3 linked regions of the Mytilus edulis genome follow. The protein of the gene in region 1 interacts with the protein of each later gene in a pairwise test. Links are inferred from orthologs where the notes say so. Each region holds a gene or a part of one and is shown in the gene's direction. Other genes may lie near its edges. The genes, in order: pre-B-cell leukemia transcription factor 1-like, homeobox protein Meis1-like and C-terminal-binding protein 1-like.

Region 1 (3,763 bases):
AAGGCCCCTTGATATTTCGATACACATGCATATGGCTACATAAAAGCATGTACAAAGCGGCTATATCCTTTGGCACAAAATTAAAATAGACGATTAAACCAATAACCCGAAGATAGATAGGACCTATAACAATATTTAGAGAATTGTTTACCATTTTTACATATTTAGCAGCTTTTGAAACAATAGGCTAAACATTTGACCTAAAATTCTAGATGTTATCGTTCATATGATGTTTTGTTCAGTTATAATGGCCTTTCGAAGCCAATGGCTCCTCTGTAAGTACATGTATATGAGTGCCCATAGGAGTTTTGTGTCCGTCATATTAACTTTCATCCATGTTTAACTTAGCTGTCAATAAGATTGACATGAATGATTTATTGACAATTGATTTTATGCAATAATGTGTCAATTTGATGGTTTCTTAAAAATTGAAGAAAAAAAATTGTGTGTATCCTTATACTCTGTTTTGTGGGGTGTTTTTTTCTTCAATTAAATACCGCAGTAAGCATGATACTACAAGTTCATAGACCTCAGAACCATGTTGTTTTTTTTCATCTTCTTTTGGTATACTAAATGCCAAAGTGAAACAAAATCTTGAAAAATAAATGCAAGATTGGACATGAAGAAGAAAAGCCCCCAAAAAATCAGGATATATCAACACTTGTGAGGCTGCAATCATGTATATTAAAAAACCTGTCAATGTGAAATAACTTTCATATAATTTTATTTTTGACCTTTTAGTTCAATTCATAAATGTCTATTTGCAACTATTTCATGTTTATTGAAGATGAGGTAAAGTTTACACAAAATGGTTGGAAGCCTCTTGGACTTCAGTATAGCCTGACAAAGGGTACATGGTTGGTCACACAGAAAGATATTTTAAAAGGTAATTTTGCATAAACTTAAACGGATTATTGTTAGTCATGCAAGTTACATTACTAAAACTGTCTATAGGTTGCATTTAATGCGTAGCACTATCATACAGCTCCTTTCAGATTGTCCTCATTTAAAGACTTGATGATTGTCGATTTTTAAATATAATTCTTATCCTTTATCACAAAAAAAAATATCTCATTTTCTAATTAAAAAAAACGGATTTTCTTTAAAAATTGTTTAATTGGAATGCATTGCGAAAGGTGAAAATACGTAGCGAAGCATTTTTGTTTTTTATTGTGCTTATCCTTCCTGGGGCCTCTAATAGATAGTCATCTCATAATCATCTCCGAGCTGTCAATCTTCGTCAAGGGCGTGTGGTATCGGGACTAATTTTTCCTCATTTCATTGGCTGTTATTTATATCTAGTTAAAACATTCCTTACGGAAAAATACGAAGATATCGAATCTGCGTTTTCATTGGATGTTTGTGCATTAACGGAGAGAATGATGTTCTTTGCATGCATGACGAGCCGCCATTTCTGTTTAGAGGCATTTTGACTGGCAGTGACAAAAAGCCCTCCCAGATTGGCATAAGTGTGGACATTGTTTACGTTTAGGATTTGTTTATTATCCAAACAAAGGCATTGTAGGAATTAGTGCTAAGTGTTTTAATGACTTAACATAGACATAAATGGATTATTAAGGTCGAATAAAACCTACTGTGAAATAATGGACGACCAGCAAAGAATGATGCATAACCAGGGACAAATGGCGAACACTAATGTGCTTCAACAGTATGGGATTCCTCAACAGGGAGACGATCCCTCGGACCAGAGAAAGCAAGAAATTGGTGATATTCTTCAACAGATAATGACAATTACAGACCAAAGCCTTGACGAAGCACAAGCAAGGTGCCGGTACATGCCTTCCTTTATTCTATGCCTGTCGTCTCTCAAATTTTCTCTTACTCTCTTATCTGTTCGATATATTTCAGCGCGAAGTTATGAAATAATATTCCTAGTTCTTAGTAATGCTCTTGTTTTCTTTATTGCAGGAAACACACATTGAACTGTCACAGAATGAAACCTGCATTATTTAGTGTATTATGTGAAATCAAAGAAAAAACAGGTGTGTAAAATTTACCCTTTTTTAAGCCTCTTGTATGGAAACCTATATTATTTTTCCAAATATTTTTTTTGTATTTTTTTTTAGTTATTTGGTAAAAAAAGTAAGTTTGGTAAACATTGTTTGTACATTTGTAAATTCATATAATTTACTAACAAACAAATACTTTGTCAAAGATTTGTGACTTAATTAACAACTATGTGTATTATAGATACACATTTAGTGATCTAGTTGCACATAAAGTGATAAAGTCACAGTTTTGTATCAAAGTAAGGTTAATGACAGTATTAAAGAAAAGATCAACTTGCCAAGTAGGGAAAAGTTTCCCAAATATTGAGAACTATCCCTGAAATACATGTAAGGTCATAAGCCAAATGCTAAGAAAAACAATATTATATTCAGTCTTCACTCAAAAAAGCATGCATGATCATGCATTTAAAAGAAAATGGAATATTTTGTTTGTTAAAAACATTTTTTTTTTAAATTTCAGTTAAAAATGTTAGTTACTGTGAACAATAATGACAATTTTAATCAGCAGTGATCAGTGTTTATCAGCGTGAAACTTGCAAGTTTTAAACTGAATATGTGCCATTTCAACTAGAAAGAAATAGTTACATATTTTTGGGAGCATTAAAAAAATATCTCAGGGTATCAAATGGCTTGTTGTAATATTTGTGACTAATTTTGGCTGAAAAATCAGTTCTCAAGTGAGGAAAAACGGGGGGGGGGGGGGGGGGGGGGGGGGGGGGGGGGGGAATTAAGTCTATCTATTCCAACCAAAAAAAAAATGAACTGTGGAAAAAACTGTTTTTGGCTTATTTTTCAAAATGTTTTATTGCATGATAACTTATAAACATTTGTGGGAGACTGTATATAATAAGAATATAACTACAAAAACGTAGGACAATTGAAATTGTTGCTGTACTTGTAATTATAACTTGGTTCAAATTAATCAAGGTTCAAATTAAACAATGTATCAAGCTGAAGTTGCAAATACAAATGTACAATTATATTTGCTTCCATCTATATATTGAAAAGCAAATTAATTAGTTAATCCAGATATAATTTTAAAAGATTTAGAATTAAGCTAAGTTAATACTGAATCTGTTGCAGGGGGTCATAGGCGGATCCAGGGGGGCCCTGGGGGGCCCGGGCCCCCCTTTCGTGGGAAAAATTTGGTTGATTATATAGGGCATCATTGAAGTATGGCTGGAGCGGGCCCCCTCTTAGGTCAGTCAGCGGGCCCCCCCTTAGGAAAAGTTCTGGATCCGCCACTGGGGGGTGAACTGTTTTCACTGCACTACCATTCAATATCTCATTGTTACTACTGGTCATGATCTTAAAAGGGCAATTTTTATTAATTTTGGTGGTATCACTATAACTGTTTTAGAGTTATACCCCTTTACAAATAGATAAAATGTTTGAATTTTTCTTCTCCGTACTCTTAACTTAGTTTGCCTCAACCAAAAATTATGAAACTTGTACACAATGCTCATTACCACAAAATACAGATCAAGTTCAAATTAGGTAGCATCACTATTACCTTTCTTTAGTTACAATGTATGTCCCTTTATAACTTTATATCATATGAAAAGTGGGGACAAATTGTCAATATCTGTGTCCATAGGGATGCATTCCCCAATTATTTGTATTATGGGCAAGCCAGCTGAAAATAGAAAAAAAAATCTGCAAAACAAGATCAACAAAAAAAGATTGTTGTCATGAATTCTTGTCTAGTCTACAACTTGGATAATAAGTGAAGA
Region 2 (3,763 bases), on another chromosome or scaffold:
TGAGACAGTGTGCGTTTCAATAGACTTATCAAACAGTGAAAGTTGAATCATTGGACATTAGAATTATACATAAACAGACACCAGCCTCTTCAGCATCGGTTTTATTCAGTGTTGGACTGGAGAAGCTGAACTTTGGTTTTCTATTTGAATTTTTACGACTAAGAAAAAGAACCAAATGTTGTGGCACCAGTAAAATTGACACTTAATTTACGTTTCAGCTAATAAAGATAATCATCAAATTTAAATTTTTTGAGACTGGAGAATCTCAAAGAATGACCTGATAGAGTGTCCTATTTCTAAACTAATAACGTGTGCAACCTTTTGTTTTATGATAGTCGAGACCAAACTGGATTTGGACTTAAAGCAATTTATAGAGTTGGGACTAGTATTTGTAAACAATATATGATGAAATGATGATAATTTTAATAATATTTTCATGTATGAAACACTACAAAATATCCTTGGCTGTTTTGTTTGAAAACAGATTGATTACTGGTTGTCTTGCATCCGATGTCAAATGTTTCATGAATATCCATTACAACAAGAACTTGACCATATATCAGTAAATATAAACTTAAGAAGATGTGGTATCCGTCAATGAGACAACTGTCCACGTGACAAGAGACCAAATGACACAAAAATCAAACTAAATGTCACCGGCCTGCCTTCAACAATGAGAACAACAGTTTAATCTATCGAGATGCAGGCAGTCTTGTAAAACTGAAACGTCCACAGCCGCGCGTTAGTGCGTATTTATACATCCCGCAAAATATAGGTGTTTGCTGTCATTTGAAAAGCCGAGGGAGTCATATAATTATATAATTCGATGTATTATCTACACTTGGAGTCGACTTAGGGGCTAGAATTTAATTTCCCCAACTGAGTTTTAAAAAACAATTTATACAGTCAATAATTAAGTATTAAATTAATAACGGAACGTGCGTGTTCAAATTTCTCCATAAAAAGTCCATAAATATATTTCATTAGTATTTAATAACTTGTAAAAAAAACTATTTTAAATACACAGTTTTGCACATCTGAATAAAAAGGACGTTTTATTATAATAAAGATGCAGATTTCTGCTAATAAAGACACCAATAATATCTTCAAAAATAATCATCACAATAGGAGTTATATTTCAAAATGTTTATCACTGAATATGAAAGAACTACAATCTGATGAGAAAAAAATCCTTAGAATCATTTTATCTCATTAGCAAAACTGCTGAAGTAAACTGTAGTGAGAAATTTTGTTGCCTTACGATTCGTCTTTAACTGGTCGATTGACAACTCGGGGAGAGAATATGATAATTTTATATATACGATATCCACAATTATTATAAGGAAAGTTTTGACATAGCTCCCACCCACCTTTGAATAATGGTGTTTGGAGGTGTTCGTTACTATTGTATGAGAGAATTTCACCCATCAATGTCATTACAAGCTAAAACACGGACTCATAAAATATTAGAATCTGTCTAAGGAAGTCGTGTTTTCACACAAGTATTTGACTAAAATATTGACATATGGGTTGTAATCCAGTCCTGGCTATCTTAATCAAGGGATTATAAAACTCACTGTCGCACACAAGGTAAGAAGCTTTTAATCAACACTTTAGTAGAGAATATCTTCAGATATAATTAATTTGTGGTAAAGAATCACGCAAATTATTACTGATTAGTTTTCATTTTTGTAACATGTTACTTTGTTATACATGACATAATATTCAGGTTGACTGGTCATCGATTAAAGCGGACCTGGTAGAAAGCATTACACAGTTGATTGCTTCGTGACATTTTGACAACATGCCCCTCCCCAACCTGTCCGCAATTCATTCAAAATTCACTGCCCATCAATTTTTATACACATCATTGATAAAAGAAATATCTATTAGCCCACGATTATTTATGGTTGTTTACAAATTGTCAAAACTGATCACCGAACAATTACAAAAGTAACTTTTACGTTGTGTGGAGCTAGGGAAAGAAGGAACTTAAAAACTGTGATCAAGTTTAAATGGAATTGTTTCATTTACAAATTTAATTAGTGCATTCTATATAACTCCGACTATTTTTGGGAAACTTTATTGTACGTTGCAGTATGTCTGGACTTATAATTAATTAGCTGGATTTTTGTTGTGCTTTTATTTGTAATAATTGTCTGTTATCTTATCAATATTTAAAGCAGATGTATTTTATTTGGGTTTTATAGGGGAGAAGTTATGCATAAGAAAGTAAACTCTACGGTGTGTGTAAACCTATCTATTTGGATAGAAAACACAACACGCAAACACCTTTATCTATTCGTATAATTTTGTGTTCCATATCAATTTGGGGTTACTCATGGTTAACATCGCAATATGTCAAAACTGAATATGTTTTTACGCATTCATGTAACAACATAATTGATATTTTTCGATTTTCTGACGCTGTTAAATGATTTTCCATTTGAACTGAATAATCATAACATAATATAAGATTATTAATACTATTATTATAAACTTTTATTATTAACTTTATTATTATTATTATTATTAAAATGTTATTATTAGTATCTATTATTATTATTATTATTATTATTATTATTATTATTATTATTATTATTATTATTATTATTATTATTATTATTATTATTATAATCATTTTAACTCTCTTAACTTTAAAAATTGGTTATGTGTTAGCGTTCCTGATGAAGGCATATCCAGAAACTCGCTTCGGACTCACAAAAGTTTGCGGGGAAAATATCTACTTTATAGTTACAACTTATTTGAAATATATGCAATACTATATCTGTTGTAGGTCGACTTTTTTTGGATATTTGAATCATGTTGCGCCACATGGGATTATTTTCTCTTTAAATTTATTCTTAATTATTCATATATTGCATTATTTTTGTAGTTTAGAAATTACAAATTCAGACATGCAATTTTTTAAATTCCAAATTGCATCGATAGAACTAATAAAATGATTTGCGTCATAACTTGTAAATTACCAATATCATACAAAAACGGCCATGGCCAAATCAGAGACGTTATTATGTGCAACCATATTTTGTTAAACTTTTAATATTTCCGATTTTAGAATTAAAAAGATTTTATGTGAACGATCTAAATTATTATTAATGTAATATTGAATGAAACTTGAATTAGCATTATTGAAAGAAACCTTGAGTGAAAGTAAAAATGGACCTTGAAGGTCAGAATGAAGTTTACATATAAAATTAGTCTATGCATATTTATATATATAAAACTTTGTCTGCGAACAATTTGTAAGAGGAAAATTAATATCTGGTTATTTCTAAACCCTGAGGATGGGAGTTTTTAACGACATTGACTGGCTATACAGCCCTCGCACGGTTGGTTCTAAACCCTGTTCATATATATATGTGTCTGTCTGATTTGTCTGTCAATATTAGTCTTTTAGATATATTTTACAGTGCAAAGTTTACGAATACAGTTTTTGAAACCAGCTCTCAAATCCAAATTACAGTGGAAATTGTAAACGCATTACTTGGACGCACGTGCATCAAATTGAGGTCTTTAAAAAGGCCCAAACTTAGCCTCCTAAAACTCTCTATAATATTCTACTTGTAAGCATTTTGTTTAAGAAACACTGCACTTTAATTTATGATGTATATAAGCACAAAATTACTTAATCATGTTTCAAACTTCAAAACTTGTCTTGTGATAATTTATAAATACATAATAAAACTGAGGAGTTTAATAAGTAAGATCTATTACGTCATGTCTATTTACATATAGTAGT
Region 3 (3,763 bases), on another chromosome or scaffold:
CTGAACCAAAGTTCTAGTTTATAGTTTCTATATAAGTTAAAATCGTAAAAACATTCGAATTCTATCCAATATTCCATTCACTAAGGACGAGAGACTAGTGTACACATGGCATTCGATAATAAAAGAGTTTTGACAACTTCACCGGCTTTCATCTACAGATAACGTTGTTTATTATTTTTTTTACTAAAAAAAAATATTTGTGGAAAAATTATGTGTAACGGCAGCTACGCCCCCTGCACAATTCACAATTTTTTTATTCTGTTTTCTGTGAACTGTTGTATTAATGTAGGTGTTTATTAATATTCGAAATGTACTAGTATATTATTTATTTATGTATTTCTCTGTCCTGAATGTTCCCTGCTGCATTTATTTATGATATACAAAATTAATGTATTTCAGTCATGCATATATATTATGTTAGTTATACGTCTTTGAGTCATGTAATATTGTTAATTTAACAGAATGTTTTATATTACCAAATATACTACTGTTATCTTTATTTACACTTTGCTGTGTGGTCATTGCTGTAGCTCAATATCATATCACCATTGTCACAAGTTAAATCGAATAAATTTCAGCGGTTAAGAAGTGAAGAAGTGTATGGCGCAGTACGAATGGGAAACGAAATAAAAACAAAGAATCTATCAAGGGGTTAGAATGTTGATCTATCGTATAAACTAAAGATAGTAAATAATATTAAATCGTATCACAATTTAGCAATATGATCAATATGTGAAAGCTTTAAACATAACGAGAGTTAAAATGGCGGGAAATAGAGCGTCCTCAAGTAGATTTCGAACGCAACCTAATAATAAAATAAATAAAAAAAACATATTTATTTATTTTGTTTATTTTAGTTTATCATTTGCATTCAAATTGTATGCAAAAATAAAATTTTAAAGGATATTGGATAAAATGTTTGTCCTCCGAGATTGTGCGAGATTATATTCGGCTTGGATAGCCTATCGGAGAGCACCGGCTTGTTACGGCCTCCAAATTACTCGTTTTAAATCACTTTAAAGGGGGAGTATTTACCCACATGTGCACATGTTTTACAATTAATAATTTCTGCATCTATAGACACCTGATAAGGTGAGATATTACGAGTGATATATGTTATTTGTGCCGCTGAAGTTTCAAAGGATCATCACCTCTATTCTTTGTCTAAAGTGCTAATGGATAGGTGAGCTAATTTTGTTTACTTTCATCTGTAGTGACACACTTTCATTATGTTCACTTACATTTAATTATCACCGCTTTCATTCAGTTCCCCTTCTATATAATTAGATGTAACGTTTTTGTTAATACATCGAAAGACTTTGATTTGAAAAGGGATGAAATATCTGGGTCAACCATTTTGAGATCAAAGGCATGCCTCAATGTATCGGATATGCACATTTATAGTTCATAATCACAATATTTAATCAATTATTTCATTTCTGTCTTTAAGTTAATTAAAATCAACAACAAATGCACATATATTAGGTTGTTCTGAATACACAAATGCCCTATAAACAGAAATTGAAAGTCGTTAAAAATTAAATGGAAGGACAAGTTGGCATTTCGTTTCGGTGCAGTTTATGCAAATGACCCCCAGCAAAGTAGAAGGGTGTCCATTACACGCCAACATGGATTTATAAACTATTTCCTGTCATTGTTTGGTTGATGTGTATTACACAGTGGCACAAAATGATGTCTATTATAGCAGACCATTGCAGACAGATAATCAAATGATTTATTATACATATTGATTAACATGCTAAGTTGTATTGATGTTTTAGTATGTGGTTTATTTTTGATCTGATATGCTATTATCTAACAGTAGTGTACTTTTCTTGATTGGTAGTCATAAGATATGTGTGTAATATACGTGTGTATCTTTTTGAAGATCAATAAGTTCTTGTGGTAATAAAGACATGTTTATCATGTGAGTTGATATTGAATTGATATTAGTATCTATATGTAAGTTGTTACAGGTTAAATACATTAAAAGAAAATATTTAAATACAGATAAATCCATAAAATGGATTATCAGTTATTTAAATGGCAAATATTGTACAAGCTATCTGCAGGCTATTTAGATTTAGATGCAATTATTTTCTTGTGCAATAATTTTTTTTATTTTTTATTGATTTAAACAGTAATTTAAATGAATTATATAGTAGTTATTAAATACCAACTTGAGGATATATATTTGCATTCATAGTTTCCTTATTGTTTATTATTGGATAGACACAGTGACAGACAGGTTATCCATACAATTTGTACTTTTCAGCTTTCATTGATCAGTTATTTTGAAATAAGCTTAATACTAACATGCATATAGTGCATTATTTTAGACCAAATAGGGAATTATTTTCTAATAGAGACTTGTATTTTTGAATTTTTATAGAACTTTGAAACTGATTTACATAGATACAACTGCTTATCTGGATGAAAATAATTGTAATTTGCAATTTTGTTTATGTTTATACCACAGTCACTGACCGTTTTAAAACAGGATTAATTGCTACTTTTCTAGAACTAAGAAGTGACTAAAGAACTTTAATACATGTAACATGCAGTGTTTCTCCCTAGAGGGTTTATGCATTGTGATACCTTCATGCATTAAATTTAAGCCACCATCTTTATAATTTGAAATGCCCTATTACTTTTACAAGCCTTCAAAATTCATAACTATCATCCTTTCCCCGATCTTTAAAACAGTTTATTTGGTGCAAACTAAAGATCTGCTTGTATATTATTTTTTTCTCTTGAACCTACCAACTTTATGAGGTGTATTGTAGATTATCAATAAATTATCTTGAACATGATATCATAAACTTAAATAATATGTAAACAGCTTGAGCAATGATTAATTAAATTTTGTCACTGGAAGAAAGTAATTTGAAGTTTGAAAAATTGCATTTGGGACACTGTTGATACATTTTAACCTATGGGGAGTAAATTAAAGACATTAAATTTGTGTACATTTGTACATGTAGATGTCCAATTTAATGTCTTAGGTCTTCATAGTGGATCAGCTTCATAGCAGCTGAAAACAACATATAATGGGATTTTTCCGCAAAATAAAGATCATTCTTACATACATATAAAAAAGAACATGTGGTATGATTGCCAATTAGACAACTTTCCACAAAAGACCTAAATGACACAGACATTAACAACTATAGGTCACGGTACGGCCTTCAAAAATGAGCATAGCCCATACCGCATAGTCAGCTATAATAGGCCCCCCGATAAGACAATGTAAAACAATTCAAACGAGAAAACTAACGGCCTTATTTATGTAAAAAAATGAATGAAAAACAAATATGGAACACATAAACAAACGACAACCACTGAATTACAGGCTCCTGACTTGGGACAGGCACATACATAAATAATGTGGCGGGTTGTACTGTAATAAAAGGTGCCAATATTGCATTTACAATGAACCTTTTCATGATAAGCATGCTAGCATAAGGTTTAAATGTTTTCAGGGTATGTCCCAACATAGGCTTGAAATACTTTATATATCATTGTTAGTATTGTTCAAAATTATAGGAATTATTTTAACATTAAACACAGTGGACAACTGTAGGACAACCAGATTGACAATTTATTTCACCATGGTGACTGGAAAAAGCTAAGTAACAGAACAGCTTCTTCACCCATGCCATTCAGTAGCTTAAGCTCTGACACATCGTGCATGTATGTGGAAAAAGTCCACATTGCATACATGAATTACAATAAAACTTCACATTTTAACAAGTACATAAAC

The links.
Region 2: the proteins of pre-B-cell leukemia transcription factor 1-like (region 1) and homeobox protein Meis1-like interact in binary tests that used the Drosophila melanogaster proteins (3 or more experiments, as listed by UniProt). The link is inferred for Mytilus edulis from reciprocal best matches to the Drosophila melanogaster genes exd and hth.
Region 3: the proteins of pre-B-cell leukemia transcription factor 1-like (region 1) and C-terminal-binding protein 1-like interact in a two-hybrid assay, tested with the Drosophila melanogaster proteins (2 studies listed by BioGRID, with this or other methods). The link is inferred for Mytilus edulis from reciprocal best matches to the Drosophila melanogaster genes exd and CtBP.

The regions. Positions count from the first base shown.
Region 1 is NC_092345.1:80,585,862-80,589,624, reverse strand, and holds the start of pre-B-cell leukemia transcription factor 1-like, read left to right. Parts: upstream 1-1,372; 5' UTR 1,373-1,604; coding exon 1,605-1,792; intron 1,793-1,929; coding exon 1,930-2,003; intron 2,004-3,763. UniProt on the Drosophila melanogaster protein: Transcription factor which acts with the selector homeodomain proteins altering the regulation of downstream target genes such as wingless (wg), teashirt (tsh) and decapentaplegic (dpp), thus affecting segmental identity.
Region 2 is NC_092346.1:31,664,824-31,668,586, forward strand, and holds the start of homeobox protein Meis1-like, read left to right. Parts: upstream 1-1,368; 5' UTR 1,369-1,590; intron 1,591-3,763. UniProt on the Drosophila melanogaster protein: All isoforms are required for patterning of the embryonic cuticle. Acts with exd to delimit the eye field and prevent inappropriate eye development.
Region 3 is NC_092347.1:74,060,478-74,064,240, reverse strand, and holds the start of C-terminal-binding protein 1-like, read left to right. Parts: upstream 1-943; 5' UTR 944-1,183; intron 1,184-1,580; exon of another isoform or gene 1,581-1,927; intron 1,928-3,763. UniProt on the Drosophila melanogaster protein: Corepressor targeting diverse transcription regulators. Hairy-interacting protein required for embryonic segmentation and hairy-mediated transcriptional repression.